2 linked regions of the Stegostoma tigrinum genome follow. The protein of the gene in region 1 interacts with the protein of each later gene in a biochemical or structural test. Links are inferred from orthologs where the notes say so. Each region holds a gene or a part of one and is shown in the gene's direction. Other genes may lie near its edges.

Region 1 (16,459 bases):
ACAATCAGCCATGATCGTGAAGAATGGTGGAATAGGCTTAAAGGGCTGAATGGCCTCCTCCTATCTTCAATGTCTCTATATGTACGATGTGAATTTCTCTGGTTGGGCCAGCATTTATAGCCCACCATTAGTTGCCCTGGACAAGATGGTGGTAAGGTGCCTTCTTGAGCTATTGCATTCTATGTGCTATGCGTAGACCCGCAATGTTGTTCGAGAGGGAATTCGGGCATTTTAACTCAACAACACCGAAGAAACAGCAATATATTTACATCAGGATGATAAGTAGCTTGAAGGGGGACTGTTTCTTGTATCTGCAGTCCTTGTCTTTCCAGATGGTTATAGTTGTGAGTTTGGAAGATACCATGGATGGAGCCTGGGTGACAGAAATTATGAGCGATGATTGCTGCTATATTGCTTATCACTCATTTGGATATTTAATTTTCCATAGTATCTTTTGTTAGATGCTTGCAGAGCAATACAGTCTGTGTTTGCACTGTTTATCCATTAGATTTTTTTCCAGGTGGTCTGCTATAGCTAGAAGTCTAACACATGTAATGCAGGATGTGTAAGTCCCACCACTGTGAAATGATCTTTGTCAAGTGTCAAAACTGTCACAGGTGAATGCAGCCAATGACAGACACAAACCTCGTTCACATATCACATGAATGGCCTGGCAGGAAACCTGCAATTGATGGTGTTCCAATGTATCTGCTGACATTGTCCTTCTAACAGGTAGGGTGGTCATGGGTTTAGAAGGTGTTGTCTCAAGGGTCTTCATGAATTTCTGCAGTGCATCTTGTAGACGGTGCTCACTGCTGTTACTGAGCGGTGGTGATGGAGGGAGTGAATGTGCAGTTGGTGCTAATCAGACAACCACCACCTTCTTCCATTGTGCTAGATATGACTCTAACCCAGAGTTGGACCTGACTCCTAACGTATCTACGAACATATCAACAAAGAACAAGAGAAGACCACTCAGCCCTTCGAGTCTGCTCTACCATTCAAAAGATTATGGCTGATCTGACATCAACTTCAACTCTACATTTCTGCATATCCCCGATAATCTTTCAACCCCTTGCTGCTCAAGATCTATCTATTTATCTCTGCCTTAAAAAATATTTTAAGATCCTGCATTCACCGCCTTGAGGAAGGGAAATTCAAAAACTCGTAACTATCTGAGAGAAAAGAAAGTTTCCTCATCTCTGTCTTAAAAGGTTGACCTCTTATTTTTAAACTCTGACCCCTGGTTCTAGATCCTCCCTCAAGAGGAAACATCTTTCGACATCCACCAGGTCAAGTCTCCTCAGGATCCGACGTGTTTTGGTTAAGTCAACGCTGAGTCTCCGAAACACGACAGGATACGAGCCAAGACTATCACATCTTTCCTCATCAAGCAATCAGCTCATTCCAGGTATTAGTTTAGCAAACCTTCTCTGACCTGGTTCTAATACATTTACATGCTTCCATAAGTATGGTGATTACCACTATACACAATACTCCAACTACACAAACTGAAGCAAATAACCTCACTGCTCTTACATTCAATCCCCCTCACAATAAATCATAATTCTCTATTACTGATTACTTGATCTAGCTACCTGCTAACCTTTTGAGGTTCTCGTACTAGGACACCCAGATTTCTCTGAGCTTACAGCTCTGCAACCTTTCACCATTTAGATAATATGCTTCTTAATCATTCTATCTGCCAAAATGGAAAATTTCACTTTTCCACATGGTACTATTTGCCAGGTCTTTGGCCATTCACTCCATTCAAGTAACCTATCTATATTGCTATGTTCTATATCTCTTAGTAGGTTCCTTGTGACCTGTTCACGACTCACTTTCCTATGTGCCATCAACTGTCATAACTTTGATTCCCATCAACCAATTTATATAAGTCGTAAAGAGTCGAGACCCCAGTACTGTCCCCTGTGGCACACCACTTGTGCCATTCTGCCAGCTGAAAAAGACACGGTTACGTTTACTCTTTAGTTTTGTTGGGGCTCCTTGATACCACACTCAGTCAAATGCAGTCTTGATGTCAAAGGCAGTCACTCTCAACCCATCGCTGGAATTCAATGCTTTTGTTCCTGTTTGAATTGAGGCTGCAACGAGTTCAGGAGCCTTGCAATGCTGGCAGAACCCAAAGTGAGCATCAGTGAGCCGACAAAGTCAGTAGTTAATAATTGAGGCTATAATTAACTTTTGCTGCCGTCATAGCTACTCCAGACCAGAACACGTGAGCGAGCAGGAATCTGTTTACTCTTCAATTGTGAAGAAACCCATATTCCCTTTTAATTTTCTAATCAACTGTTCAGAATTACTATCACTCAACTCTGAAGCAGGTTGAACTTGAACCCGGCCTTCTGGTCCAGAGATCGTGACACTACCACTGGGCCACAAGAGCTGTGAAGCCCACATTGATGCTTTTGATTCAAGAGTGGCTTCAAGAACAGGATGTGAATGGTACACTGCTGCTTATTTGTTTTACGGGTCCACACCACCTTTTCCCCATTGGATGGCCTTTTGTCCTTTAATTAATAATTAATTGTGATGGATTTTGATAACAGATGATCAGTTTTAATGCATCAACTCTGGAATAAATGTCTTTCTCCTCCTATTCTCATGTTTACTCTCATTCACTTAAAGTGCATGTCACCCAGATTCATTGTGGTTTTATCTTTTGAATTAAATCTCATTGATGTAAAATGTCAACCGTATCTACTTAAATGTTGGATTGAGATAAACATTCCCTCCTCATTCCTGATAAATCTGATCTAAAGTGGACTGCAATGAAATTATCTACCAACCCCCTTCCAGTAATCTGCGTACTCCAGTTACTTCTCATTGCCCATCATATGTGCAAGTTCAGAGTTGAGTAAAGTCAGCCCCGAACATACAGAAAGAAAGAACCACTTGCATTTAAGCAACAATTTTCACAACTTTGGGACATCCCAAATTGTTTTACAGCATACTTCTGAAATGTAGTCATTATTGCAATTATGAAAATGTGGCAGCCCATTTTCACACAGCATGTTCTCACAAACAGAAAGGTTATAATGACCAGATCATCTGTTTTAATGGCCATGGAAAACTGCACCTTGGACACTGTGGCACTCCTCATGCTGTGGTATGTCAGCCTAGATTGCACAAACCACCCAATCTCTAACTAAGAGACACCCGATAATGTCAAAACACTGATGGTGAGTTTTAAATTAATATGCGAACCACCTACTCGCACAAAGTTAAAAATCAGGCTCGCTAAAGTTAGCGCTTTGTCTTTTAGCAAGTGGAATGGGAGCTGACAGCATGGGTTTGGCTCGTTTGCGATGCATCTCATTTGGAGAAAATCCAATTTATACATGGCTGTCCTTTGCTTTGCTGAAAATTCCATTGTCAACTGATTGGAAATTGCATTCTTTGCAGAGCCTCCCATGACTGTGTCTCTCTTTCTGTAAGAGAAATAGCTTTGAAAAGCAGTAACAGCCAATCTAAAATGCTGAGAGAGACAGAAGTTTTGAAATGAAGCCCCTGCTATTTAACATACCAAAAGAATCAAAAGACAATTTCATATGAAAAATCAATGACCGCTTTGAAATGTAATTTTGAATATCCTCTAAATTGTACTACCTCTCAGTAATAGACTGAGGGGAAGGCTTTTGGTTGAAAAATTGGTGATTTAATTTACAAATCTGATCAATGTCTTACTTCTACGAAATTTGCATGCATCAAAATTGTAATGAATAAATCCAAATCAAAATGAATTAACTGGTATGTTGCGTAATTAAGTGGATGAAATTTGAACTGAACATTGATAACAATGAATATATTTATAAATAAATAACCTTGTTTAAAACTTGAACCAAAGTGAAACAGATTTGGTCAGTGTGACAGTCAGATGTACAGAATAAAGTTCTCTTGGCCTTGACCATTTATTTGCAATTTCTTCCAAAGCCTATACCAGCTTAATGCAATCTGCAGTTCTCTAACCATGGCGTTTTGTGTTTATGTAAATCACCAACATTAATATCAGAGGCATCAGCATGTCAGTCTCCCAAACTAAACCTTCCTCTTCTCGCTCCTGTCTCACAAACAAATACTTACCCATTGTTTCAACCAAACCATTTATCAATTTTCTTCCACAATTCCTTCAGCCCCTATTAATGTCATTGTCTCCTTGCCTTCAAATTCTCTGGGACATTTTCTAAGTTATTGCTACTCATTGTTGACATGATGGTGCCTCAATGTCATAGTTGAACTGTGCCAAACAGATGGTAAGCACTGTTTTTAATTATTAGCAATTAACCCATGTCATTACAAACATAGAATTGTGATCTGATATATTGTTCATTTCATGGAGTGGAGAGGTAGGCGGGGCAGGGGGAAATGATTAAACTTGGCACACAGATGTAATTTGATCCCACTTTGAAAAGAAACATCCTTTTTAGGTGATTATATATTTTCAGACAACTTTTCTGGTGGGAAATAGTCAAAATTCAAATGTTGGGTGCATCATTTTACCTTGTATAGCATGTGCTCTTTGGATGGAGGGTTAATCCAGTCCTGTTGAAATAGGAGATAGTTGGAACTGCCGATGTTGGAGAATCTGAGATAACAAGGTGTCGAGCTGGATGAACACGACAGGCCAAGCAGCATCAGAGGAGCAGGAAAGCTGACTTTTCAGGTCTAGACCCTTCTTCAGAAGAAGGGTCCAGACCCGAAACATCAGATTTCCTGCTCCTCTGATGCTACTTGGCCTGCTGTGTTCATCCAGCTCGACACCTTGTTATCTCTGTTAAAATAGCACCAGTGGTATTCTCTGAGCAGTGTGGCTGACATCATCCTTTAAGTGACACCATCAGAAACCGGTTTATCTGAACACTTTCTCATTGCTGCTGTCGGGTTCCTATTTCCAATCAGTTATTTCCTGATCTTTAAGCAGTTCGAATCACTCCAAGACTCCTGGTTTGTGACACTGGACTTACGTGGGGAATGTGAAATGAAGAGGCAGGAAACAGAGGTTTCAGGGCAAAAGAATCCCTGTGCTTATCTAAAATACAAAAGCTAATTATAATGCAAGAAAATAGGCAATACAATAGATCAAAGAAACGGGTACAATGAAGTATGGTAGGAGAATAGTAGTAGTTTAAATCCACTATCAACCAGATTAACACTATTTTGGGGGATAGCAAGATGTGGAGCTGGATGAACACAGCAGGCCAGACAGCATCAGAGGAGCAGGAAAGCTGATGTTTCGGGCCTGGACCCTTCTTCAGAAAATTCCATTTTGTGGGATCTTGCTATGCATAGCTTGGCTGCTTTGCATGCCAACAGAAAGTAACTAGATATAGAATATACACCCATAGCCAGTGAAATTACTCCATATTTCCTCAGCACATGAAAGCTGCTACATGTGTGCAAGTTCTCTCATTCTTCTAACAAAACCTTAAATGTAGTAGAAGCACAAACAATGTGTGTGGAGATTTACTGATTTGGGAAGAAATCCATTCCTGCCGATTGACTTAACAGTGACTTATGCCGTAGATATCGACAATATGTGAGAAGCAATGAGATCAGGGAGTTGTAGTTACACTGCTGGTTCACATCGCTGTCAATTGAAACATTTACTGATGCCTGTGCAATTCTATTTGAATAGACAGGGAGCTGAAGAAATCAGCTACAGGAGTAACCAATTGCCAATACCAGAGAGCAATTGCCATAACATCAGAAAATTAAACTTGAGTAACGGTTAGAGAGTGTGCGCCATGGAATCCCTAGAGGCCAGTAAGGGGCCAGGTCTGCACCAACCCTCTGAACAGTATCCAACCCAGACCCCAAATCTATCCCCCACCACCCTCCATCGACCGTGGCTAGCTCACTAGCCTAGCCTGCATACTGCTGGACACAATGGGTAATCTAGCATGGCTAATCCACCCAATCTGCGCGTCTTTCGACTGTGGGAGGAAACCAGAGCACACGGTGAAAAACCATTGGGACACAGAAAATGTGCAAACTCCCCACAGTGGCCTGTGACTGGAATCACACCCAGGTCCCCGGTGCTGTAAAGCAACAGTGCTGAGCCGCCCTCGTTGCTAGACTTGCCTATTTCACTGGCTGGTCTCCCCCATTCTAGTAAACCTGATGCTGTCCAAAGCTATGATGCGTGTGTCCATCCGCCCACAACACCCCGTGGTTGCTGACTTACATGCTTCCTTGGTAGAAGTAACACTTCCATTCTAAAATTCTCATCTTTGTTTTCAAATCTCTCCATGGACTTCTCCTGTGTGTCTGCAATCTCTTCAGCCCTATGGAGTTCCTGGCACTCCTGCAATTTTGGCCTATAATGTCAATAATCGGCTGCCCTGCGTTGATTTATAATGCTCCTCTAAAAAAAAGAGCTTCGGAGACGTTTCATTACGTCAAAGGCGGCGGGTAAATGGAAATTGTTGTAAAGTCATTGGTCAAACTTCACGTTTACTGACCCCAGTGCATTGAAGAAGAAACTAACTTCCATTTTGTTTTTCAATGTAAAGTCGACTATTTCATACTGTAACTATTCTCTGGTAGGAAAGTTAATGCAAGCATTACTTTAACCGGTCGGAGTTATACTGTTATTTGTAGCCACTGAAAATGGGTGAGTGGCAGCAATAAGCCACAATATTGAGCTTAGGAGGGGAGCTGTGTAAGAGAGTGCAGAAACGGGGCAGGGCAATCTCTGAACTGTGGTTTGATACATTCCTTGCGTCCACACCATTAGCTTAATCTAACACTGTCCATTCCCCACTGTGTGAAAAGCAAGGCAGCTTAGTTGTACTGTAGACAGGACACGCGGATCTGCAAATGAACAGACTCCCTATTCCGATACTATTCACTTATCATGAAGCTCATCACGCATCCATGTGACTTTTGAAGCTTTCCTCACTTCTCGTTTGTTCTGTTTTTGACTGGTTTATACGTTTATTTTTTCCTTTAAGTTTTCCATTAACCAACCCCTTCAGCGATAGATATTTTTATAATCAGCCTGTTCAGAGTTGAGATGGTACACAGCCACAATTAGAATTGTACCCCACACCTTTCTAACTGAAAACAGAAACCGACTGTGCCATCACGGTTTGTGGATTGGACGGGGATGGTTCCACAATTCACTGACTCAACAACTCTCTCTCCCCTTCCGCCCAGCCCCGAGTCCTTCAGAATTAGTCTAGCCCCCTCTCTGAGTCGGGAGTCCCTGGTGAAGTTGCAACTTTCCGCTCAGCTCTCGTACCGAGACTTCACCCGGCACTGACTCAATCCCAGAAGTTCAGTGAAAATCAGTTTAGGAGAGGGCTGGGTTAACAGTATCCTCCCCTAGGACTAACTCCCTAAATCCCCCATTATTTATTTTCAGGGTACTCCTCGTTCTCTCTCTGTTCTGAACGCATGCTGGACCCGGAAGTGTTAGCTCTGCTTTTTTTTCTCTCTCTTTCCACAGATGCTGCCACACCTGCTGAGTTTCTCCAGCATTCTCTGTCTCTCACCATCTCCCGAGTCGGGTTTTCACACATATCACCTCCACAAATTTAAAAAAAAATCCCTGCAGATTTACACTCCTCTCCCCCAACAACTAGCCCGTTCGCTATGGAGCTGGCCAATGCTTTATTTTAACCCACACTCTGCCGCCTGCTGTACAGAAACGGGGTGTATTGCTGTCCGCAATAATGGGAACTGCAGATGCTGGAGAATCCAAGATAACAAAGTATGGAGCTGGATGAACTCTCTGATGAAGGGTCTAGGCCCGAAACGTCAGCTTTTGTGCTCCTGAGATGCTGCTTGGCCTGCTGTGTTCATCCAGCTCCACACTTTGTTATTCTGGATTGCTGTCCGCTTTGTCCTGGTCAATAACCCCCAGCCCCCAGGGTCTTGGACCGAAACATCAGCTTTCCTGCTCCTCTGATGCTGCTTGAACTGCTGTGTTCATCCAGCTCTACACTTTGTTACCTCACTGATGCCTTCCTGCTTTCAGAAGCAGTACAGTAATCGTGCATGTGATGAAATTAACACGAAGCAATGTTGATTTGAATAAAGAAAGGGTTTTACTGAAAACAAAAAAAAATTGCTGGAGATCACAGCCGGTCAGGCAGCATCCGTGGCTTTACTGCTTCTAAGATGCTGCTTGGAGTGTTCATCCAGCTCTACACCTTATTCTCTGTTATCCGCGGATGTACTTTTTGTTTTCAGCAACTGCAGTAATTTGCCACTAAACTGCTTTGAAGTAACTTCGATAGAAGCCTTTGGACTCGACCCATTGACCCTTAACAGATCAGGCTTTGCTGATTTTCTGGAGTACTTTTCTTTTTTAAAACAAAACTTCAGATCTTGAGCATTCGCAGTATTTTGCTTCCAACTTAAATTTTAAATACTTTCAGTTCTCACCCTCAACATTGTGCTGGATCATCGCCTCTTCATCAGCCGCTGACCACTGCCCCCCCCCCCGGAACAGGATTTCCTCATCTTGTGCTGACCCACAGCGTCACCACGAGTCTGGTTGGAGAATTTCGAGCTGTCGCCTCGAATCTCGAATTAACTCTCAGCATCGACGACCAGCCGGAGAGTAATTGTCTCCTGCCAGGATCAGGATGGGGGCAGTGTGAGGGAGGACAGAGAGAGAGAGAAAACACACACACATCACTTCAATCCATCCAGACCCAACCAAAAAAAACAGGCTGGATACCAGAAGGCAGCTTGTAGCTGGGAGAGAAAAAGAACTCTTTGAACAGCCCTTGAAATAGGTGAAAAGATGTTTTCGCTGAAGGGTTCTTGCACGTTATTGGTCCTTTTGCTTAACAAAGGTAAGAAGATTTATATAAAGAGTACTGGAATAGGGGGTGAAAAGTTTATTCAGTTACACTGCTCTGAAAACTGCAGAAGTGAATGCTTTTAACCTCGGATTGCAAACTTTGAAATGTTTTTTCCACCGCACACTGGCAAGGATTTTAAAACAGATTTTTGCAGGGGATTTTGTTCATTTTTTGTTAGAAAGACAAATGTCATGCATTCTTCTGTTGTAATGCAAAATGTAGAAGTTCCTTAGGCGTCAATTAAGTGGAAGTTTCTGATTTAACTCACCACGTAGTGAGCACTAAGTGGAATAAAAGAGATTGTGCAAAGACAGAGAGATACAACGTGCACGTGTGTGTTGTGGAAGCAAAAAACATAGCGTCTACGGCTCCTTTCTTTCCCCTGGTTTGCGAGCTCCCTCCTGCCTTCCTCGGTGAACCATAACGGAACATCAGTAACAGTCCCCTCTGGCCGCTGGAACTCAGTTACCGGGGTCGGGAGAGCCAACCGTCCCGCTGATGTAAAAAAAGGTGGTTTATATTTTTCGTTGGCTGTGTCAGTTGAAATATAACCAGGCACCCGTCCTTTCAGCGCTGTGTAAAATAGGGATGAAAGTGTTTCCATACGTGTTCCATACAGAGCGTGTAATCAGATTGCGAACTCCTCTCCCTCTTCGGTACGAATGATGTTTCTTGGAAATGTTACCCTCACCAGAGCAATGATTTTCACTTCAGTAAGTGGGACTGGATTGCCAGTAGCGGCGAACTGTGTTATCAGCTCTGTGTCAAAACAGGGAGGTGTCAGCGTCAATGCTTGCAAGTATTGGAAATTTGAACTAAAACAAATCAAACTACTGGAAATACACAGCAGGTCAAAGGAAAGAGAAAAAGATTTATGTTCGGAGTCTTCATCCGTTTGTCTGAATAGCTTTATTGAAGATTCTACCACGCTAAACACATTTGCTAACTTCTGTGAAGGGGCCTACTTATAACAATTTCTGAGTATTTTAATTAAAGTAAGATATCATTTGAATTCTCAGAGTTGCCTCGATCCTTTTATCGGAGGAGGCAATATTATGTCAAAGCATGTTACAGTGATGAGTTCATTAATGTACTGTGTGACCTCAGAAGGATTTACTTTCAGGGAGCAGTGTTGGATATTAGTAGCTGGGTATCTCAATGATACAGTGAAAGAATCCCTGCATTCCAATACTGTTAAAAATTCGCTCTTGAGTGTGTCAGATGGAATCTATATTGATGATGATGATAAGGAGTGAGAGGTGTGGATTGTCTGTTTGTGACTGGAGCTTGTGTTTCATGTAGATTGAAGAGGGGACCTTGTATCAATTGTGATGTCCTGGAGCAGACATTTCCAGGTTTTGCTTTGTGAGAGATTATGGTAAAGCAGCCAGGTTTCAGCTGGTCTAAAGGGTGTGGGAGAGAGCATACCACACCCTGCTGTTATGTACTGATTTTAAAAAATTATTTTCCTGTGAGCATCCGATATTGCTTCAGAAATTGGGGTAAATGGTTCCTGCAATAATTTGTCAAAATTTTCAAAGAGAATACTTGGAATGGTGACACTCCCTCCACCCTCTCCAATATAAAGGGATTATGGAAGTATCACAGTGAGGTTATTTATCTAGAATGGAGTTTTCAACACAATGGACTGGGCATTGTTTATCATCAGCGGTCTTAAATATGAGATTATTTACGATCACACACAAGGCCATCAGTAAGAGAGAGGACTTTGCATTTGTATTGCATCTTTCAAAATCACTGGGTCTCTCCAAAGGCTTTAACACCAATGGCATACTTTTAAAGCATCATCACTGTTGTAATATAGGATGCACTGTAGAGGATATATGCACAGCAAGATCCCACAAACAATAGCAAGATGTGGCCAGATGATCTGGTGAATTTTTTGCAGTTAGAGTTTGGGGTATGGGAGTTACATAAGCACCAGGGCACTCCCCTGTCATTCTTTGAACAGTACAGTGAGGTTTTACATATCCATTCGAGAGGGCAAATGGAATGCACAGCCAGCTCCTCATCCAAATGCTCGCTGGTGTGGAGGTCAAATCCAGATGCTGTAGTTACCATTAAACTAGGGCTGACAGCATGCCACCAGCATCCATCACAAGAGAAAACTCTGCTATGTACCCCACACAAAAAGATGCAGCAAGTCCACATGGTTAAAAAAAAACACAAACACAGATTCACAAAATTGTTTTGGTGCATAAAGAGGCCCTTCAGTCCATTGTGTCTGCAATGGTTCTTCGAGCAAGCATTATCAATTTGTGCAAATCTCAAATCAAATTATGCAAACCTCCTGCCTTTTCCCCATATCATAACAATTACCTAGGGCCACCTTGAATATCTCACTTGAATCTGCCTCCACCATTTTTCCAGGCAATGAACCCTAACTGCTCACTGTGTGAACACTTGGTTCTCACATCATGGATGTACCTGCTGGAGAAGGAGCAAAGCTTGATCTTCTCTTGGGAAATAAGGCAGGGCAAGTGACTGAGGTGTCAGTGGGGAACACTTTGGGGCCAGTGAGCATAATTCTATTTGTTTCAAAATATTTATGGAAAAGGAAAGACCTGATCTAAAAGTTAGATTTCTAAATTAGAGTAAGGCCAATTTTGATGGTACGAAGCAAGAACTTTCAAAAGTTGATTGGAAGAGGCTATTTGCAGGTGAAAGGACAGTTGGAAAGTGGAAGGCCTTTTAAAAATGAGATAGTGACAGTTCAGAGACAATATGTTCCTAAAGGTTTTGAGATGATTTGTAACTAAAGTTGTGGATGATGTTGCAGAAAACCTGACCTACAAATCTTCTCAAAAACTTTAAACACCTGCCGGCATAACAACCCTACTTGGCTCACAGATGGGAGACAAACGCCATCTGTCTGAGCGCGACCTGCGAACAACTACACTTCCTTCATGAATGCCTCAGAAAATCTGCAACCACAGTATGTTGCTGGTAGGGTTAAGGACAAGGCTGGTAGGTGTAGGCAACGCTAGATGACTACAAAAATTGAGGCTCTGGTCAAGAAAAAGAAGGAGGTATATGTCAGGTATAGAAAGCTGAGATTGAGTGAATCCCTAGAGGAGTATAAGGGCAGTAGTAGTGTTTTTAAGAGGGAAATTAGGAGGGCAGAAAGGAGACATGAGATTTCATTCAAAATCAGGTTAAAGAGAATCCAAAAATATTCTACAAATACATTAAGGACAAAAGAGTAATTAGGGAGAGAATAGGGCCCCTTAAAGATCAGCAAGGTCACCTATATGTGGAACTGCAGGAGATGGGTGAGATACTAACCGACTGTTTTGGGATCATTATTTACTGTGGAGAATGATATGGAAGCTAAATAGTGATATCTTGAAAAGTTTCCATATTACAGTAGAGGAGGTGCTGGATGGCTTAAAACTCATAAAGGTGGATAAATCCCTGGTACCAGATCAGGTGTATTCCAGACCTTAGTGGGAAGCTAGGGAAGTGATTGCTGGGCCCCTTGCTGAGATATTTGTATCGATGATAGCCACAGGTGACTTGATGGAAGACTGGAGGTTGGCTAATGTGGTGCCATTATTTAAGTATGATGGTAAGGAAAAGCCAGGGAACTATAGACCAGTGAGCCTGATGTCAGTGGTGGGTAGGTTGTTGGATTTACATGCCTTTAGAAAGTCAAGGACTGCTTAGTGATAGTCAACACATCTTTGTGTGTGGGAAACCGCGTCTCACCAACTTCAGTAAATTTTTTGAAGAAGCGACAAGGAAGATTGATGAATGCAGAGTGGTAGATGTTATCTATATAGGCTTCAACAAGGCATTCGATAAGGTGCTGCATGGTAGACTGGCAGATGAAATTAGATTACCCAGAGGCAGCTAGCCAATTGGATACAAAATTGGCTTGAAGGTAGGAGACAGAGGCTGGTGGTGGAGGTTTGTTTTTCAAACTGGAGGCCTGTGACCAGTGATGTGCCACAAGGATCAGTGCTGGGTCCACTGCCTTTCATCATTTACATAAATGATTTGGATGTGAACGCAGGAGATATGGTTAGTAATCTTGTAGACGACACTAAAACTGAAAGTGTAGTGAACTGCAAAGAAGGTTACCTCAGAGTACAACGGTATCCTGATCAGATGGGCCAATGGGCTGAGGATTAGCAGATGAAGTTTAATTTAGATAAATGTGAGGTGCTGCATTTTGGAAAGGCAAATCAGGGCAGGACTTATACCCTTAACGGTAAGGTCCTGGGAACGTTGCTGAATGAAGAGATCTTGGAGTGCAGATTCATTGTTCCTTGAAAGTAGAGTTGCAGGTCGATAGGATCGTGACAAAGGCATTTGGTATTCTTGCCTTTGTTGGCCAGCGTATTGAGAATAGGAGTTGGAAGGTCATATCTGGCTGTACAAGGCATTGATTCGGCCACTTTTGGAGTATTGCGTGTAATTCTACTCCCTTCTGTAGGAAGGATGTTGTGAAACATGAAAGGGTTCAGAAAAGATTTACAAAAATTGTGCCAGGGTTGGAGGGACTGAGCTATAGGGAGAGGCTGACTAGGCTGGTGTTTTTTTCAGGAGTGTCGGAGGCTGAGGGGGTGATCTTATAGAGGTTTATAAAATCATGAGGGGCATGAATGGGGTAAATAGGCAAGGTCTTTTCCCTGGGTTGGGGAGTCCGAAACTAGAGGGCATTAGTTTAAGATGACAGTGGGAAGATAGAAAAGGTCCCTAAGGGACAACTTTTTCACACAGAGGCTGGTGTATATATGGAATGAGCTGCCTGAGGAAGTGGTGGAGGCTGGTACGAATACAGCATATAAAAGGCATTTGGATGGGTACATGATTAGGAAGAGTTCAGAGGGATATGTGCCAAATGCTGACAAATGGGACTAGATTTATATAGGATATCTGGTTGGCGTGGATGAGTTGGACTAAAGGGTCTGTTTCATTGCTGTACATCTGTATGACTCTAACTATACAGAGTACCCATGCTTCATCAGGGTTGCATGAGCACTTTAGTTCTGAAGTCATCCTCACGTATACACCCATTTTTGGTCAGAAGTACTTGTGGAGGCAGCTAATAGGCTAATCACTAACAAACTAACTGACCATTCACCTTATTTATTGTGAGTAAGATCTCACCGGGCTCAGAATGACTGGCTCATTGCCCTACATAACAAAACCCACTGTGCTTTGAACTAATTCATTGTATGTGACATGATGAGGTGGTATAAGTGTTTTACTCATTCATGGATTGAGTGTTACTGGCTAGTCCTGGATTTATTCCCATCCCTACCTGTGCTGGAGACGGTGATGGTGAGCTGCCCTCTTTAATCGCTGTACGGTTTATGTAGATACCCCTCATGGTACTGTTTGGAACTGTCAGGATTTTGACCCGATGCCAGTGAAAGAACAGCAATATGTTTCCAAATCAGGATGTAGTGTAGCTTGTAGGTAAGCTTGGTGGTGATGGTGTTCCCTTGTGGCAGTTCTTCGAGATGATGGAGGTTAGAGGTTTGGAAGATGCTGTGGAAGAAGCCTGGGTGGGTTGCTCTACACATGTCAGCTTTTCTATAAGCAACAAAGCCACAAATGTACTTCATGACCTCAGTCTGCATATCCTCGTCCAAAAAATGTTTTGCATTTTTTTGACTTGTTTAAACACTTCCGGAGTTGCCATTCGGAAGTTGGCTGTGAAATACCTGACCCATTTCATGATACCATAACAATGTGAAAATACAGTACTATTTAACAGTTAAAGGGTAAAATGTCAGTGATTCGTTCTGTTTTTAAAGACCTCAGAAAGGTTGCATTTGTATATACATCTCCAATAAAAATTCGGTTCCTTTAAGTTCATTGGCATTGCGTGTTTTTTGGCTCGATCAGTATGACTCCTGTCCATGTGAAAATTGTCTGCTACGTTTGCTTACTGAGTGAAAAGTGAGGCTTACAATTGCATATTTTCATTGTCAGGATCAGTAACGTAGCTCAAATTGATTTTACCAGACATCGAACAATTGAAAAGACAAGTTATAGCCTCAGTATTGAATGGGTTAACTGGTTACAATTATGTAAAAGGAGCAGCATTTTTCTCGTATAGGTCACTACATGCTGAAAACTGGACAGTTAAAATATGTGTGTGTGTTATTTGTGTCTGTGTATCTGTTGTGTGTGTGTGTGTGTGTGTGTGCGCGCGCGCCCGCGCCCTCCCTCCTTGTGTGTTTGTCTCTGACTGTTGCCTGTGTCTGTGTGTGTATCTGTTCTGTGCGCATGTTATGAATGTGACAGATTAATTCCTGTTAGGTGGTCAGATTTAGAAATGGGACCCCTAAATCATTGTAGAAAATCGTGGATTGTTTACCCTATGTTCACAACTTCATAGAATCATACAGTACAGTGAGGCCCTGCACCCCATTGAGTCCTGACCCAAAACATCAACTTTCCTGCTTCTCTGATGTTGCCTGGCCTGCTGTGTTCCTCCGGCTCCACACTGTATTATCTCTGATTCTAACATCGGCAGTTCTTACTATCTCCCACTACTGCCAAGTACATGCTAGTCCTGTTTTCCAGCACTAGATCGATAGCCTTGAACTTTCTATGTTTTTGTAATTTATCTCCTCCACCCAACCATCCTGACCCTCCTAAACCAGCTCTGATGCAACGCTTTCCCTGTTATTCCCGTCCTCTGATTTCTTATTTCTTTTAAATCCTCCCATCCCCCTACCTCCCTTATCTTTCGCCACATCTCTGCTTTGGCTGGCTTCTCTTCCTGTCACCTATACCTGAGGCATGAATCACACTCTGACGGACAATACATGCAGATGTCTACACCACAAAATGCTAATGTGGGTTTATATGGCTTGTTTTCAAGATATCCTTTACCCATCCCCTCTCATCCCGAGAAATGTGTGTCTGAGTAATTGCTTTAAGTCATTAAGTTATTTCTGGGGACAAGATCTCTTGGCATTATCTGAAAATGTTGCACTATTTCCCAAAATGGGTCAATAGCTGGTCATTTCAAGCCCAATGTTTAATGTTATGAGTAATGTGGGTAAGTAGGCACTGGTGTGTGAGTTGATCAGCATTGAGTCAGAGATGGAAAGAACATTTCTACTGCACTTAACATTTTACTGCCTGCGTAGCCAGTCCATGGGGACTGTTATTTCATAATTAATTGTAGAGACCCGTGGTTCATGCAGCATGTGCACTTTTTCCTTCCTTGGCCCGCAGTCCTATGTTGGAAACCACTTTAAGGTTTGTTGTGATGAGGGGTGGGGGGTGCGGTGTTGAGGAGGGTAGTTATTACCCTTGTTGGAATTGTTGATATGCAAATGCACTGCGATGCACTTGAACGGCAGAACATGCTTAAGGGCTGGAGTCTGTCTGGTCCAATGTTCTGACAAGTAACATTGCTGGACAGAGTTCAAGCAGTGGACCTTCAGCATGGGTTTGCTGTAGGTACTGCTGTGAGGTGTCACTCTTGGGCATGCCCTTGTGTGTTTGTCCACAAACCAAGTGGCACTGCCAGTTTATGCTTCATCTTGGATTTAAACACTTAGCCTGTGGGTGGAGAGAATTGCCCGCTTGTTAAAGATGAAATCGTACGTGGGCAAATTCCTGTGGAAGAA
Region 2 (16,502 bases), on another chromosome or scaffold:
TCATCAGGACAGATGTTGTTGACAGTACTATCTAGCAGCATTTGCTCAGCAATAATCTGCTCACTGACACTCAATTTGTGTTCTACCAGGGCCAGTTAGCACCTGGCTTCATTACAAGTTTGGTTCAAACCTGGGAAGAGGTCATAAAAGTGACTGCCAATGACACCAAGGTAGCATTTCACTGACAGTGGGATCAAGGGTCTTGAGTAAAACTGGATTTAACTTGAATCATGGAAAATAAACTGTGTTGTCAGGCCCCATTGCCTTTCCAGTATTGAGCCATTGATTGGTGTCATACCTAGCACAATGAAAGATGACTATAGTTGTTTGAAGCTGATCACCTTAGTCCCAGGACATCACTGCTTCAAAGGAGCATTGCTAAGTTACCGCAGTGTTTCATGCTTAAAACATGCTTCTACTATCATGCAAAGATTGTGAATGTAGTGCCAATCAGGTAGACTGTTTTGTTTAGTATAGTATTTGGAATTCATCAGCACAGTGACCTTGGCCAGACTATCTTCAGCTGCATCATCAATTATCAACTGTCTTGTTTGTAGGGTCAGAAATGGAAGGGACAATGAAAGAAGGCAAAAAATGAACACTGGATCCAGAGTAGCTCGGCAAACTAGTGACAGGAAACAGAGTATGGTGGTAAAATACTTGTATGACTAGAGGTCAGTGTGCATTGCATATCACAGGAATCAGTGTTGTGTCCCTTATATATAAAATAAAGAAGAAAATGAGGGAGTGGGTGGTGGGAATAATCAAGTTTGTGGATGTCACAAAGATTGGTCAGGTACTTGACAGTGAGGAAGGTCTTAGGTTACAGGGGGATACAAATGGATTGGTCATTTGGGCATATCACTGGAAGACAGAAATTTAACAAATAAATGTGAGGTGATACACTTTGGAAAAAGTAACGAGACAAGAGAGTACTCAATGAATGGCAGGCCATTAAGAAGCTCAAAGGAAAAGACAGATCTTTAGATGCTTGTCCACAGATAGTTGAAGCAGCAGGCCAGGCTAATAGGGTAATTAAGAAGGCATATGGGACACCTGTGTTGATTAGCCATGGAACAGATTGTTAGAGTAAGGAGATTATATTGGATTTGTACAAAACTTTGGTTAGGCTGCTGCTGGAGTACTGTGTGTAGTTTTAGTCATCACACTGTAGGAAAGATGTGATTGTACAGGTGGAGGTGCAGAGGAGATTCATCAAGATATTCCCTCAGATGGAGTGGTTTACCTATGAAGAGAGGCTGGATTAACTCAGATTGTTTTCTTTACAGCAGAGAAGGCAGGGGACCTTCCTGAGGTGTACAAAATTATGAGGGGCATGGACAGGGTGGATAGAAAGCAGCTTTGGTGGAGGGTCAATAACAAGTGGACATAATTTTAACATGAAAGGTTTCGATGGAATTTGAGGACATTTTCTTTTAGGGTTGTGGGAATCTGGAATGCACTGTCTGAAAGCATGGTTGAGGCAGGAAATCACACAGCCTTTAAAAAGGACTTGGATAACCACTTGAAATGTCATAACATTAAAGGCTCTAAGCCAAGTGTTGCAAAGTGTAGATTCAGAATAATTTATGTCAATGCAGGCTCAATGAGCCTAGGGCCTCTTCTATACTGTATGATTCTAAGAATCGAGGTGGGAAAGTTTACTAATGATTGTGCAATGTTCAGTACAAATCTGACTCGTCACTTACTGATGCAATCTGTGTCCACAGACAGCAATACATGCATATCAGAGATAACAAAATGTGAGGCTGGATGAACACAGCAGGCCAAGCAGCATCTCAGGAGCACAAAAGCTGACGTTTCGGGCCTAGACCCTTCATCAGAGAGGGGGATGGGCTGAGGGTTCTGGAATAAATAGGGAGAGAGGGGGAGGCAGACCGAAGATGGAGAGAAAAGAAGATAGGTGGAGAGAGTATAGGTGGGGAGTGGAAATGGTTCGCAACAAACAACTGCACCTCCCAGTCGCAAACCATTTCCACCCCCCCTCCCATTCTTTCAATGACATGTCCATCATGGGCCTCCTGCAGTGCCACAATGATGCCACCCGCAGGTCGCAGGAACAGCAACTCATATTCCGCTTGGGAACCCTGCAGCCTAATGGTATCAATGTGGACTTCACCAGCTTCAAAATCTCCCCTTCCCCCACCGCATCCCTAAACCAGCCCAGTTCGTCCCCTCCCCCCACTGCACCACACAACCAGCCCAGCTCTTCCCCTCCACCCACTGCATCCCAAAACCAGTCCAACCTGTCTCTGCCTCCCTAACCTGTTCTTCCTCTCACCCATCCCTTCCTCCCACCCCAAGCCGCACCCCCATCTCCTACCTACTAACCTCATCCCACCTCCTTGACCTGTCCGTCTTCCCTGGACTGACCTATCCCCTCCCTACCTCCCCACCTATACTCTCTCCACCTATCTTCTTTTCTCTCCATCTTCGGTCCGCCTCCCCCTCTCTCCCTATTTATTCCAGAACCCTCACCCCATCCCCCTCTCTGATGAAGGTCTAAGCCTGAAACGTCAGCTTTTGTGCTCCTGAGATGCTGCTTGGCCTGCTGTGTTCATCCAGCCTCACATTTTGTTATCTTGGATTCTCCAGCATCTGTAGTTCCCATTATCTATAATACATGTACATCATTCAGGTGTTTGGCTCTTTAAATAGTCTATTTGAGAACAGATCATGTAAGCTGTCATCATTTCTCTTATTCTTTCACGGGATACAAGTGTCACTGACTAGGCCAGCATTGTTGCACATCACTAATTGCCCTACAGAAGGTGAAGATGAGCTTCTTTCTTCAACTGTTGCTGGGGGAGAGTGAACAACCAGCAGTTGTGGCCAGTATTAATACTGATGACATAGTTGGTGTATCTGCAACTGCAGTGCTGTTCAGGAGGCAGTTCCAAGTTTCTGACCTAGTTCTTTTGAAGGAACAGCACTATAGTTTCGAGCCAGAATGGTGTGTGGCTTGCAAGAGAACTTGGGTGATGAATTGGATTGTCTGCTATTTTTGTCCTCCTAGTTAGTAAAGATTGCAAGTCTGGAAGGTGTTGTCAAGAAGACTTGATGAGCTCCTCTAGGTCATCTTGTATATGTATACTTTTCTGTCACAATGTAATAGTGGTGAGGGGAGTGAACATTTGATCTGACGTACAAGGTACTGGCTAAGCATGTTGCTTTGACCTTTGGTAATGGACAGTCTGTTTAACGATATTGGAGTCATATTTATTTAAAGAAGTGAGGATCATTGCATCACACCCTGAATTTTGCCTTATTGATGTGGACAGATTTGGGGAGCATAGTGAGTGATCCAAGCACATCCTAACATGTGCATCAATGTTCAGATATTGCTATGTAAAGTGCCACTTAACAGCATTGTCAAAAACATTGACACCTTCAATCAATTTCCTGATGGTCAAGAGTGGATCGATGGGGGTTTTCACTGGCCAGATTGGATTTGATATGCTTATTGTGGGCAGGACATACCTAGACAATTTTACACATTCAAAGGCAAATACAAATATTATATTTGTCCTGAAGCAGCTTGCTTACGAGTATAGCATATAAATCAAGATTACCGTGAAGTTGACCAGATTGAGCGTACTGCAATCAGAATTACTTTAAAGCACATAAAATGAAACTGTGAATGACTGTGAAGTAAATTTGGAGGAATACTAAGCAAGTCACGATCATTGAGGCAGACAGGAAGGAATGTAAAGCAGACCAGATAGATTGTGAAGTGTGTCATGATCAGACTTGAACAGGATCTCTAAAGTTAGAGAAAGAAAATAAAAATCAAACTGTGACATCATAGGAATGCGATGAGTTGATTATTGAGTATTCTGCATTTTTCCCTTTCTTCGAAGTTAGGAAGTTAGACTAAGGATTTGGAAAATTTAAAGTTTGATTTTTGTAATTAGCTTAAATTTTTATAGCCTCCATATATTTAGGTGACAAGAGACGTGAAGAAATGGCGAGCTCCTTTTTTAAAAAATAGTATGCTTTATTACCTAAAATATCGAGGAAACAGAAAGTCCCAACTCCTGAAGTAGACATCCTGGTCCATGTAGGAATTTCAAGACATTTCCTGAGAGGTGAATAATCATAAGTGAAGGAAGTGTCATCACATGCAGCAGTTTGATCTTCAGAGCTTTAACAGCATCTGGTATCACTGTAGCACCGCCATTCAATTGAGAGATTTGTAGATAGCACACTTATATGTATAGTTATCCTGCTGCTTAAGAGCAATTCTAAGAAGAAGGAATCAGTAACCACCAGTCAAGAAGAAATAGACAGGTAGTCAACAGTTCCCAGAATGCATCTCCAACAGTATTCAATTCTGAATAGAAATGAAAGAATGGTCCATCTTAGTAGTGCATTCAGGGCCAAGTCATTAGAGGCTCTGCTGTATGGGATTGGAGGCACAAAGAAGACTGGTACAGTAATAGTGATAGGAAATTCAACAGTCAGCAGAACTGATAAGTGTTTCTATGGCCAGTGGCACAAATCCAAAAATCCAGGATGGTGCCAGTGTCAAGGTCGTCACTGGATGTTACAGCGTACCCTGCTGGAGGAGAGTGAACAACCAGCAGTTGTGGCCAATATTAATACTGATGACATAAAAAGAATGATAAATGTTCTGCTGTTAGGATTCATGGAGCTAGGGAGGAAATTACCAGCAGTACCTCTAAAGTAGCAACTTTCATATTACTTATGCTACCACATGTAAGTGAATGGAGAGATAGAAGAAAAGTGCAGACACATGTGTAGCTCAAGAGATAACAGTAATAGTAATTTATTGTCACTTGTACTTAGAAAAATACAGTTAAAATTGTTTGTCATCATACTCTGGTGCCATTTTAATTATAGTAAATATAAATATAAATATAAATAATTAAGACAAAGTTCATCTTTTGTTCTCTTCATCCACCACAGCTGCAGAAAGAAGATACAAAGGAGTTTGTTATGAAACATAAAGGAAGAGACAAAAAAAAGTGTGCCTGGCCTGGTGATTGGAGTGGATAGGCTCAGAGGCCCAAACACTTCCTATGTGCTGCTGTTGACATCTTGGATGTAATTTCAAAATAGTGCCAACAGGGAGAGGCTGAATGGCTTAAGTCTTTTGGGACATAGGGATCAGTCTTGGGGGAAGATGGGAAGCCAAAGGATTCCTTGAAGGAAGATTTACTTGTCTTATTGGAGAGAAAAAACGATTTTGACAGTGGTGTGAGAACCAGAAGAATGCCAATCTGCAAAAAATATTGGGTGAGGCAGATAATATAAGAGCAGGAAATAGTAAGCTGTTTGGTGGATTCAACTTAAAAGTGTAAGTGATAAAGTCACAGGGTCACAGTCCGTACATGTGAGAATGCCTAGTGAGTGTTAAATAAGATGAAAGAATTGAAGATACAGAGAGCCACATGGAAATGTGATGTTATGGTAATAACAGACACCTGGATCAAGGAACACCAGGACTGGGTATTAAATATTGCTGAATACAAGATGTTTGAGAAAGATAAGAAAGGAACAAAAGGAAGCAATATTGATTAAAGAGAACATTGCAGAACATCAGAGAAAGGATGTCTCAGAGATGTCATGGACAGAATCTTGTCTGACTAGATATGAGGAATAAAAAAATCATTCAATTACATTACTCAGTGTAGTCTATAGGGCACCATTGATAATACACATCTGGTATTAGGCATCCTACTGAACAGAACTTGCTTTTCAAAGATTTTCTCAAAGGAATTGAGAAGTTAGCTGTCTACTTGACGTGGAAAAAGAGATATAGAGTGGGGAGTCCGCTGAATAAATCTCTTTCATTCTGTGCTGGTTTCTCCAGAGAAATGCTGTAAAGAAATAAAATGAAATTGGCTGGAGGACGGAGAAACTGTATGTTGGCATAAAAATGCAATAGTAGGCATGGTTACTTGAGTCTACATTTTGCAAGTATACTAAACAATTTGTCATGAGGAAAAACAGTCCAGTTATCTTCCATGGATCAAGGGCTCTGGATATCAAGCGCAAAGATGGACTTCAATCAAGGAATTGCATATATAAATGATGAAATAGGTTTGATAAAGTTGAATCAAAGATATCTTTCACATTGTTTAGTTTTCACCACTTGAACCAGAAATTCAGCATTTTAATCCAAAACAGACATTATGGTACTAAGGTGCAATGATTGAGTGGTTTTACATGTGTCTTTATTACAAAATCATCCTTGAAGGGGCCAGAACCCACCAGACCCTTTTTTTGGCACAGCTACAAAAGTATAATTCAAGAAGGTGATGACAATGTTACTTAGGATCACCATCATCAATTGCATTTAATTCATGTAAGGAAGCATTAAATGATTTCTGAACAGCACAATTTCTTAACCTTGGGATATATATGTATTGTCTCTATTGCTTTTTGGAGTTCTGACAGTTCCAGTAAAAAGATATTGGAAGTTTGAAGAATATAGAGAAAATAGGAAAAAGAACAAACAGGGAGTTAGGAGGGCTGAAAGGGGTTATGGTATGTCCTTGGCTAGCTTGGAGAATATCAAGGCATTTTATTCATACAATCGGAGCATAAGGGTAGCTAGGGAAAGAGTAAGCCCACTCATGGATAAAGGAGGGAGGTTATGTGTGATGTAGTCTCAATGTGGACTTTACTAGCTTCAAAATCTTCCCATGACCAACCCTCCTTCTCATCCCTGCCTCCTTGACCTGTCCATCTTCTCTCCCACCAATCCATTCCTCCCCCTTCACTGACCAACCCCGACCATTGCCTACCTGCACTCACCTATTTCCATCCCACCTACCTTTCATCCCTGCCTCTTTGACCTGTCTGTCTTCTCTCCCCACCTGTCTGTTCCTCCCACCTTACTGACCAACCCCCACTATTGCCTATCTGCACTCCTTATCACCACCCCACCTACCTTCCCCTGCCCCATCCCTCCTCTCCTTATTTATTTCAGAACCTCCTACCCCTCCCCCATTTCTGAAGAAGGGTCCCGACCTGAAAAGTCAGCTTTCCTGTTCCTCTGATGCTGCTTGACCTGTTGTGTTTCTCCAGCTTCTGATGAAGGGTCCAGGCCCGAAACATCAGCTTTTGTGGTCCTAAGATGCTGCTTGGCCTGCTGTGTTCATCCAGCTCCATACTTTGTTATCCCACACTGTGTTATCTCTGACTCCAGCATCGGCAGTTCTTACTGTCTCAGGGGATGTGTGGTGCCTGAGGAAATGGATGAGATCTTTAATGAGTGCTTCAGATTGGTATTCACCAAAGGGAGGGTGGTGAGGGTTAATGAGGTTAGGGAATAGAATGTGAATACTCTCAGACAGATGAACATAATGAAGGAGGAAGTGTTGAAATGAATTAAAGTAGACATGTCTCCAGGGCCAGATGGTATCTATCCTGGGATACTGTGGGAGGCATGAGAGGAAATAGCTGGGTCCTTATTAAATATCTTTGCATCTTCTTTGGCCTCACACGAGGACTACAGAATGGCCAGTGTTGTTCCTTTTTGTTTAAGAAGGGAAACACAGATAATCCATGTAATTATAGGCCAGTGAGCCTGATGTCAGTATTGAGGAAGCTCTTGGAGAAGATACTAAGACACAGGATTTATTCACATTTGGAAGTGAATGGGAGAGATAATAGGAACTGCAGATGCTGGAAAATCCAAGATAACAAAGTATAGAGCTGGATGAACACAGCAGGCCAAGCAGCATTTTAGTGAATGGACTTGTTGTGATAGGTTAGTGATCTCAACTAAATTATTTTAATTTTATACTGCATATATTGTTAACTTCCAGCAAAGAATTGGCAAAGTACTCATTTTACAGGTATATTAATTCTGGGATTTAATTTAAAAGATAAAAGTATGCTCAAGCAACTGAACCAAACAAAATAAAAACAAATGATACCCAAAGAAAATTAGTCCGAAATGAAAGAAAACACATTCAAAAAATTATCATGACATATGCACTTTCATTAGTTTCACGTAATTGTTAGTGGCTTTGACCAGTCACCTTTTCTGTAAAATCAATACATTTTAGTACAGCCAACTTACTCAGTTAACTCTAGAATTAAATCATTGATATTTATTTTCATGAGGCTAGGAAGTGTTAAATAACAATATTACTGAGAAACAATTAAGATATTTGACACTTTTAATAAACCATAAGATCTCCTGCTTGTGTGCTCCAAATTATTTTTTTCTTACATCAGATGTTATAGAGTCATGCCACATGGACAAAGATCCTTTGGTCCAACTAGTCCATGCCAACCATGTTCAAAACTAGTTCCACTTGCCTGAATTTGCCCCGTATTGTCCCAAACCTTTCCTATTCATGTACTTATCCAAACGTTATTTAAATATTGTAACTGTACCTACATTCACCACTTCCTCTGGCAGTTCATTCCACACAGGAACTATTCTCTGTGTAAAAACGTTGCTCCTCACGTCCTTTTTAAAACTTTCTCCCCTCCCCTTAAAACTGTGCCCTCTAGTTTTGAACTCCCTCAACCTGGAGAAAAGACCCTTGCCATTCACTATATCTACGCCCCTCACGATTCTCTGAGCACGGTACTCACTTACTTTAAGGAATGGAGGCAAAAGAATAAATGGAGCAGCTTTCCTGATATCGTTTCATTCCATAAAAAAGTTTTAAAATAACTTACAAACAATCATTTTTAAAACCAGAACATTTCTCATTTTTGATTGCTGTCACCGAGTCCTCCATTCATAATCTAAACTTTATTGGTAAAGAAGTTAATTGTCTTTGGAACACCAAATTCTAAATTCGTCGTTATAACATTTAAAAAAAATTGATTTGGTTCTGAAAATATAACTGCTTACGAATTTAAATTAAGAAGTCTCCTCTCCTCCCCTAAAGGAAACACCAGGTAGCTCACATTCTAAGTAATTTTTAAATCTAATGAGCCCACGCAGCGGGTCTGTGGAGATAATTCCATTGCGAACGGCATCACACTTGAACCTGGTTCTGTTCTCTCCTGATATTCTCGCACGCACATTTTCCACAAGACGTTACAGAATTGCGATTTTTCTGCTGTCAAATCTAACAGTGCTGAGGACAACTAGTGCTGGACATAAATTAAAAGCACAGTTAAAAGAGTTTTTATGCGGAACTCTGGCAAAGATCATATTAATAGCCGAGTACGCGAATTCAAATTTACCAAGTATATTTCCATAATGCTTTATTATTTGGTAACATCACCGCACAATGTATTCTTATCAAAACTGCGATCCTTAATTTAGCTCTTTGAGTTGCTAACAGCTACCTATCCCTGTCTCAATCAATGCTTTGATCGGGATATTATTACTGACCTTCCTGTGAAGTGAAATCGACACATCTTTAACACTGCCTTCTATCGTGCTTTTACAAGACAACAATCAGCTCTCTTTAATGTATAGTTAGTTTACTTCATGTATTTCTTTTTGCGAACGGTTTTGTTTGGTCTATCTTTTTTGTTAAATGTTGACGAGATGGAGACACATCTGCTTTTGAGATTAGAACAGCTAATAAGCGTCTTTCTGGATCAACTATGGACGTCAGCGGAGCAGACCATAGCTGGCAGTAAGTAATTCCTCGACTGCTGGAGAACTGTTCAATCTGCTAAACTGGGCGAGTCTGCGAGGCAATTGTGTAAAACGGAAAAACTGTCGCATCAAAGACAAATAACCTCCGTGAAGATGAATTCTGGGGTGTTCAGAAAGTGAGAATCAGAGATGGGAAGGCCAATAAAGTGGAGGCTTCTCCAAATATGATCAGTTATGGCTTGGTATAAACTTTTGGACACGAGTGGAAACTTTACGGCTCAGCTGAATAGGAAGACCTCTAAAGGCAGGGTAAGCCTGAGTGCCGCCGTCCCTTTTTGGCAGCCGATTGCTGTCCCATAGTCAATATGCTTGGCTGTTCCAGGAAAGTCCTTCTCAAGAGGATGCCTGCGGTGTTGCCATGTGCGTGCACAACTCGACCGGAAATTTGCAGGGGGAGAAAAGGCAAAGCGCGGAAAAAATAATAATTTACAACCTTTGAAAGGCCAGTCATCCCTATTAAAGTGAACTAGTACAGGGAAGCACTAAAGCATGGAGCTCAGCGACAATAACCATATACGTACACAATCTTGATCTGGGCACACAGGAAATTTTACATTACACCTACGGCCGACCACAAGTATTCGAGGAGGTAGGCGATGCTGACGTCTGGACACTGCATTTTACGTATTCTTTCAAAATTGCACCATCACCACTCGTAATTTACAAGGCAATCAGGAAAGCTTTCGAGTTTTAACCCTGTGTGCCTCGGTTTTTAAGCATGTGAACGAGTCAGGTTGACTAATTTCTCACGAGTTGTATGTGGGTACGGACAGAAAGGGGGGACGGTTGGTGGGAGGTAGAGAATTCATCCGATCACCAGGTCTCTTCCAATATTCGTATGCGGGAGTTTTGTACAAGGAGATTTTTGACGGACTAGGGATTTGAGGTGATGAAATTTCGGAGACACTTTCATTCCGTTTGTTGCTCCGAGTCGGCTCCGCTCGCGTGTTACTAACGGCCACAGGCCGCTCGGGCACCGGACGGGCGATTCGTTTATGATCCGCTGTGGGGGAGGGGCTGGGCAGTTTGTGTTGGCGCGCGAGCGAGCGTGCGGGCGGGGTTGGGTGTTTCAGCCGCGTGCGTTCACGCGCAGCGGCAGTTACTTTTTCCTTTTTTTGTGTGTGGGACGGGAACAAAAAGTTGGGATTGTGCGCGCACCCGCAGGCGAGGCGTCGCCATTTTTTTAAAGTGTCTGTAGCACGCGCGTTGAGGAGGAGTTACTGCGGGAGAGAGTTGTGGAAGTAGAGGGGGGTTGTTAAGAGAGTCAATTAGTTCGTCGGTGAGCAGGGGCAAAGTAAAATTATCATTTTGCAGGACTAGCAATCAAGATTGAAGTAAGTGTTCCTTTCCCTAATCTTTGCTTCCCCACCTTACCTCGTGAATGATTTGTTCGCGTGTATTGGTCTTGTGTTCGTGCCTGGGAGGAGAGGAGCTGTTGGAAAGTGTTTTTCTTTGGTGCATTGGGGTAATGTCCAGTTATTGGTGTGCACCATGTAAGGTAGTGGTGAAGGGTGTTTTAAAGCTTGTATCACAAACATTTGGGATGAAGAGGCGCTGTGGTCAGTGCACGTACGCAATGAGGTACAGTTGGTGTCCAGTGGAGCTGGAAACCTTAGATCATCTTCGTCTAAACAAGTATAACGCGCGCGCACACAAGCCATTTTTTAAAAAAATAAACTTTTGACTTTAAGTGTCGCGGTTACATTCGATTGTAAGCTTCTACGGAACGAGTTACGTGAGAAAGTTCAATTGCTCGGTATTCTGTCAGAACTTTTTATGCTAAAGCATTCTCATCTCTTCATTAATCGGGACCGGAGTAGGGCCTCTTGAATCTGAAATACCGCAGTTATCCCTTTAAACAGAGTTTGGAAAGTATGGACTCTGGAGTAGTGAGGGAGACCACTTTTGGGTACTTTTCCAAAAATGAGACGATGGTGGGGTTAAATAAGCCGCTGAATATTTGCATTTGCTTGGGTGACATCGAAGATAATGCTGAGAAAATCTGCCTTCCTTACTCGTGTGTGGTGTTCAAAGATTGTACATTCCTGCGGAAACTGTAACAGCGTTTTACAGCAAATGAAGAAGCAACTTTTTTCCTAAAAAAAATGTTAACGTCACTTCCACTTGGGTGGAAAACAGCTTTTGATACTTACATCCTCCAAACGAAGTCAAACTGTAGCTATTAGCTGCAAAAGGTTGGAATGGATAAGCGTAAAATGTCAATTTTTAAATACGGAGTGGTGAAACTTGGTATCGCTGAAATTCAGACTGTCTGATTGGTTAATGAAGAAAAGGATGTGTATTTGTAATTGCATTTTGAAAAAAAATGTCTGACCTGTATGAAGCGACGTTTCAAGCGGTCAGGTCTACTTTCTCTCGATTGATTGTACTTGGTTTGTTTTGGGGGTGGGTATAAGTAAAGTGAAGATTGGCAGTGTTAGATAAGATTGTGGAACTATTGATTCAAGGTAGTGAAGCCAAACCGTTTCACATGATTGCCTGTTTTTTAAAAAAAGTGCTTATTTACTCATCTTGCCAAGAATTATTTTCCATTTCAAAACAAGCAAATGAGAATACAAGAATGAAATGGTAAAGACCTTGAAGATTTGGGAAATTGTTTTCAAAGGCCTGAAAAGTATTTCTTAATCTGTTCCTGCATTGCACGTTGGGTTGGGAGAACAGCAGAATCAATTGTCACTTACTTTCAACCAAGCCATTACCTGAGGAATTATGGAAAAACAAGGTTTGAAACACTTGAGGTTCCACGGTCCTGTTGGCAATGTGGAAGTTATAATGTTGGTTTTATTGTGTTGTGGCCATACTGGTAAAGATTGTCTATCTAAGAATTATATCTGTTAAGTGTTTGATTAGCTAAACGAAATGGTATCCTTCTAAGACATTTAACCAGTTAAACTAATGATAGAAAGGTTTAGTTGAGTGTTGTAACTCTTCAAAACTAGTCAAGAAAACATTTGAAAATGTAGCTTTATCAGCATGGTTGAAAATTAACAATGTATGGAGGTTGGCTAATGTTTCATAGATTACAACTTTTAAATTAACAATATCTCTTCGGAATGTTTTGTTTCCTGTTGTTCTTTCTTCCCTGTTTCAATGTTCACTGTTTTTGTGAGATGAGGTGCAACTAGAATAGTCCTGAGCAGCTAAAGATTCAGTGATTGTGAAACTATGCTTAGGTTTTCTTTCTTAAAATGTTATCATAAAAGCACAATCATTCACTGAGTTTTATAGACTATATTGGCCTAATTACTCATTGTCAAAACTCACCTTCGAAAGGAGGTATATTTTAGAATGGAGTTTGAACTTTGGCCCAACAGTGGCTATTGTGTGATTGTTATCATTTTACTTGTCTTCAGTGAATCTCTATGGCACAAAGATTATTCAGAGGTTAATTATGCAGAATTGACGCAAAATCATGAAAGCACGTGGTATCAGAAAAGTGCTGCTAGTTTATTAGTGAAGCTTAGTGATGCTTGGAAAGGAATGACAGAAGTAGCTTCTCTGGGTGCCAATTTTCTGGATACTGAAAATATAGGGGGAAAGAAACCATTCATTTGTCTCCATTAGCTGAACACTTCTTGGACATAAGTTCATTTGAAGCCTTAGAACATAAGAATATAAGCAGGAGCAGGGGAAACTGTTTAGTCCTTCCTTTAAAAAGGCCAAGTATGCTCAATTATGAATGATTCACCTTAATTCCATCTTGCTGCACTATCCCCCATTCCTAAATATCCAAACATCAATTCCTTCTTTTCTGAATTTATTCAATGATCTGAGACAGATTTTCAAAGATATACTTCCCTTCACGCGAAGTTTCTCTTCTTCGGTTCAGAATGGCCAGAGCTGTCTTCTGAGACTGTTAACATGTAATAGAGGGGAGACATAATCCTAGTATCAACGCTTTCAAGAGCCTTGAGAATATTATTTCAGTGAGGCCAGCATATGTTCTTTTTTCACTCTCTAAGGATTGTAGGCACAATCTACTCGGCTTCTCAAAGGAATTCCCTCATTCCAGAAACCATTTCTGCTATCGAAGAGGTGAGTGTACTATTTTAGTTTTCTACTCATTTATTATACATGCATGATAACTTTGTGGTTGACTTTCAGAGACACCCACTCCTTTCAAATGGCATCATTTCTTGATCCGTTCACCAACAGTAGCCACAGACCCTACGAAGTCTCTCCAAGTCAAATGCAAGCATGGAAATATGCTGGATAATAAGTATGTTCCTGTATTAGCTAATAAATCTATACTTGGAGAAAGAACTGTAGGTGGCAAGATCTGAGGAATGGTTACCAGACCCGAAATGTTAACTGATCTTTCCTTTACAGATGCTGTCAGACTTGCTGAGCTTTTCCAGCAACTTGTGGTTTTGTTCAAGATCAAAACATATTCATGCTGGGGTCTTCAAAGTCCCTCACCAAGATTTGGTCAAATTGTAAAGGTCATAACTGCTAGAAGGAACCAACAAGAGGATAAAAGGTTTTGAGTAGATTTGTAGCTTGGGTTTTGGCTTGCTGAACTGGTTTGTTGGTTGGTGGACAAACTAATACTCCCACCCCCGAATCTGCTGCCTCCCGAAGGTACACAAACCACAAGTACTCCTTAGACCGATAGCCTTCTTGCCAGGCATGCTATCACATAGATTATCCGAGGAGTTACAAAGGAGACTAAAAGCACCTCATCAGCAATTCACCCCACTCAATCCATTCATCCCAAGAGATCCTCAATTCCATTTTGGATATAAAAATAGACCACAGTGAGACCATGGTAAAATTTGACGTTGCTGGCCTAGTCACATTGATAGATGTACCACTAGCAACACTACTAAAACAAGATCAAGGCCCAAGTAACACCATCTCCACAGACAACATGCTGAAGCTACTGGGTCTTTGCCCTCGCTACCACTTTAACTTTAAGGGCCAAATATCTGAACAGATCACTTGGACACCCATGGGATCACTAATCTCCAACTAATAGCTGAAGTGGTGATGCAGAGACTCAAGAGCATGACCCTTCTAATAATCCAACCAAAACTATGCATACGAGACATGGATGACACCTTCGTCATTATTAATGGACAAACTAGAAGAGAAACACCAACTAATAAACAACACTCAATGGGATCAGATTCACAGAGGAAGAGGAAAAGAACAAACGGCTGCCATTCCTGGATGTCATGGTGGAATGCGGGACCAATGGGGAATTCCTAACCAAGGTATGCAGGAAAGCCACACATTGACCCAAGTCCTGAATTTCAACGCAACCATCTTTAACTCCCACAAATGAAGTTGCATGAAAACTCTACTCCAAACGGGCAACAATATATTGCAGCCACACAGAACTACACCAAAAAGAAGAGATGTACCTCTTCTAAGTATTCAATGACAAGGGATACCTGAACAACTGGGTCAGAAGATGCTTATTACACGAACGACGACAAGAAGATACTGCACCCCCTGACACCCTTATTGTGCTACTTTACACCATGGACACATCTGAACTAACTACGACTCCTACGACCACCTAGGCATCAGAGTAGCACACAAACTTGCATCAACCGCACACCAACAGCTAACCCGAACCAAAGACCCATCACCCACTATGGACAGGACCAACGTAATATACAAGATCCCCTGCAAAGTGTGTGACAGTTATAACATTGGACAAACAGGAAGGAAATAAGCCACAAAAGTACACCAGCATCAACTAGCAACAAAAAAAAACTCACTCATTTCCTACAACATGGAGAAGGAAAACCACCAAATTGATTGGGACAACACCAGGATCCTGGGACAGGCCCAGCAGAGACAAGCATGGCAATTCCTCGGCCTGGTTCTCCACTGAGAAGGCCTTCAACAAGCAAATAGAGCTAGACCGTGTATATATACTCCATTGTGAAGGAAAAACGAAAGCAAAGTAACTCGGTTCAATGGACACCACAGTTTAAACATCTGGTGGAAAAACTCAACAGTACCTAATCGGAGGCTACACACATGGTATTACCCAGCAAAATAGTGAAACATCCTGGTAGAGGAGAACAAGACTGAGTGCTTGATCTGGTGATGGATAAGTAAGCCACATGCATACTGGGTACACTCAACTGTTCATCCTTTTGACCTGAGAAAGAAGGGCAAGAGTGAAGGTAATTTTGAGCAACAAGAGCTCAAGATGGTTGTGAGGGAGTTGGAGTTGTTGGTTTGCTGAGCTGACTGGTTTTCATACAAACGTTTCAGCTCCCTTTTAGGTGACAGTTAGTGCTATGTAGCCACTGTTGAAGCGCCATTGTTCTGTCCTGTGAATTTATGGTCTGGTTTGTCATGGTGGGCAGTTATTGAAGTGGTGTGTAGATGGGTCTGTTTCGACATGTTTGTTAATTGCATTGGCGGTTGAAAACCGGACCTCCAGTAATTTTCGTGCTTGTATTTGTCTTGTCCTAGTACTGTAACTTTTGTTCCAGTTAAATTGATGTTCCAATAAATGGCAAGTAATATTTAGGCCACACTACTGCCAGGCAATGTCATTTCCCAGGAAGGTAGAGAATCTAGCAGTTGCTCCTTGACATTCATTGCTACTGATGCTGAATCCCCAACAGCAACATTCTTTGGATTGCTGTTGACTCGAAGCTGAACTGGAATATGTCTGCAAGAGCTGGTCAGAGGCTAGGAATCCTGCATCTAGTGACTCCCCAAAGCGTGCCTGCCATCTTTTACAAGGCACATGTCAAGAGTGTGACAGACTCCCCACTTTCCTGTTTGAGTGCAGCTCCAACAACACTGAAGAAACTTTGACACTCTCCAGGGGCAAAGAAACCTGCTTGACTGGCACAGCCTCCACAATGTGCACTCCTTCCAC

Evidence for each region.
Region 2: the proteins of ret (region 1) and grb10b form a complex in vitro, tested with the Homo sapiens proteins (2 studies listed by BioGRID). The link is inferred for Stegostoma tigrinum from reciprocal best matches to the Homo sapiens genes RET and GRB10.

Annotation. Positions count from the first base shown.
Region 1 is NC_081390.1:21,305,569-21,322,027, reverse strand, and holds the start of ret (proto-oncogene tyrosine-protein kinase receptor Ret), read left to right. Parts: upstream 1-8,596; 5' UTR 8,597-8,776; coding exon 8,777-8,828; intron 8,829-16,459. UniProt on the Homo sapiens protein: Receptor tyrosine-protein kinase involved in numerous cellular mechanisms including cell proliferation, neuronal navigation, cell migration, and cell differentiation in response to glia cell line-derived growth family factors (GDNF, NRTN, ARTN, PSPN and GDF15).
Region 2 is NC_081355.1:94,097,390-94,113,891, reverse strand, and holds the start of grb10b (growth factor receptor-bound protein 10), read left to right. Parts: upstream 1-10,067; 5' UTR 10,068-10,217; intron 10,218-10,361; exon of another isoform or gene 10,362-10,514; intron 10,515-10,753; exon of another isoform or gene 10,754-10,962; intron 10,963-13,611; exon of another isoform or gene 13,612-13,684; intron 13,685-13,753; exon of another isoform or gene 13,754-13,868; intron 13,869-16,502.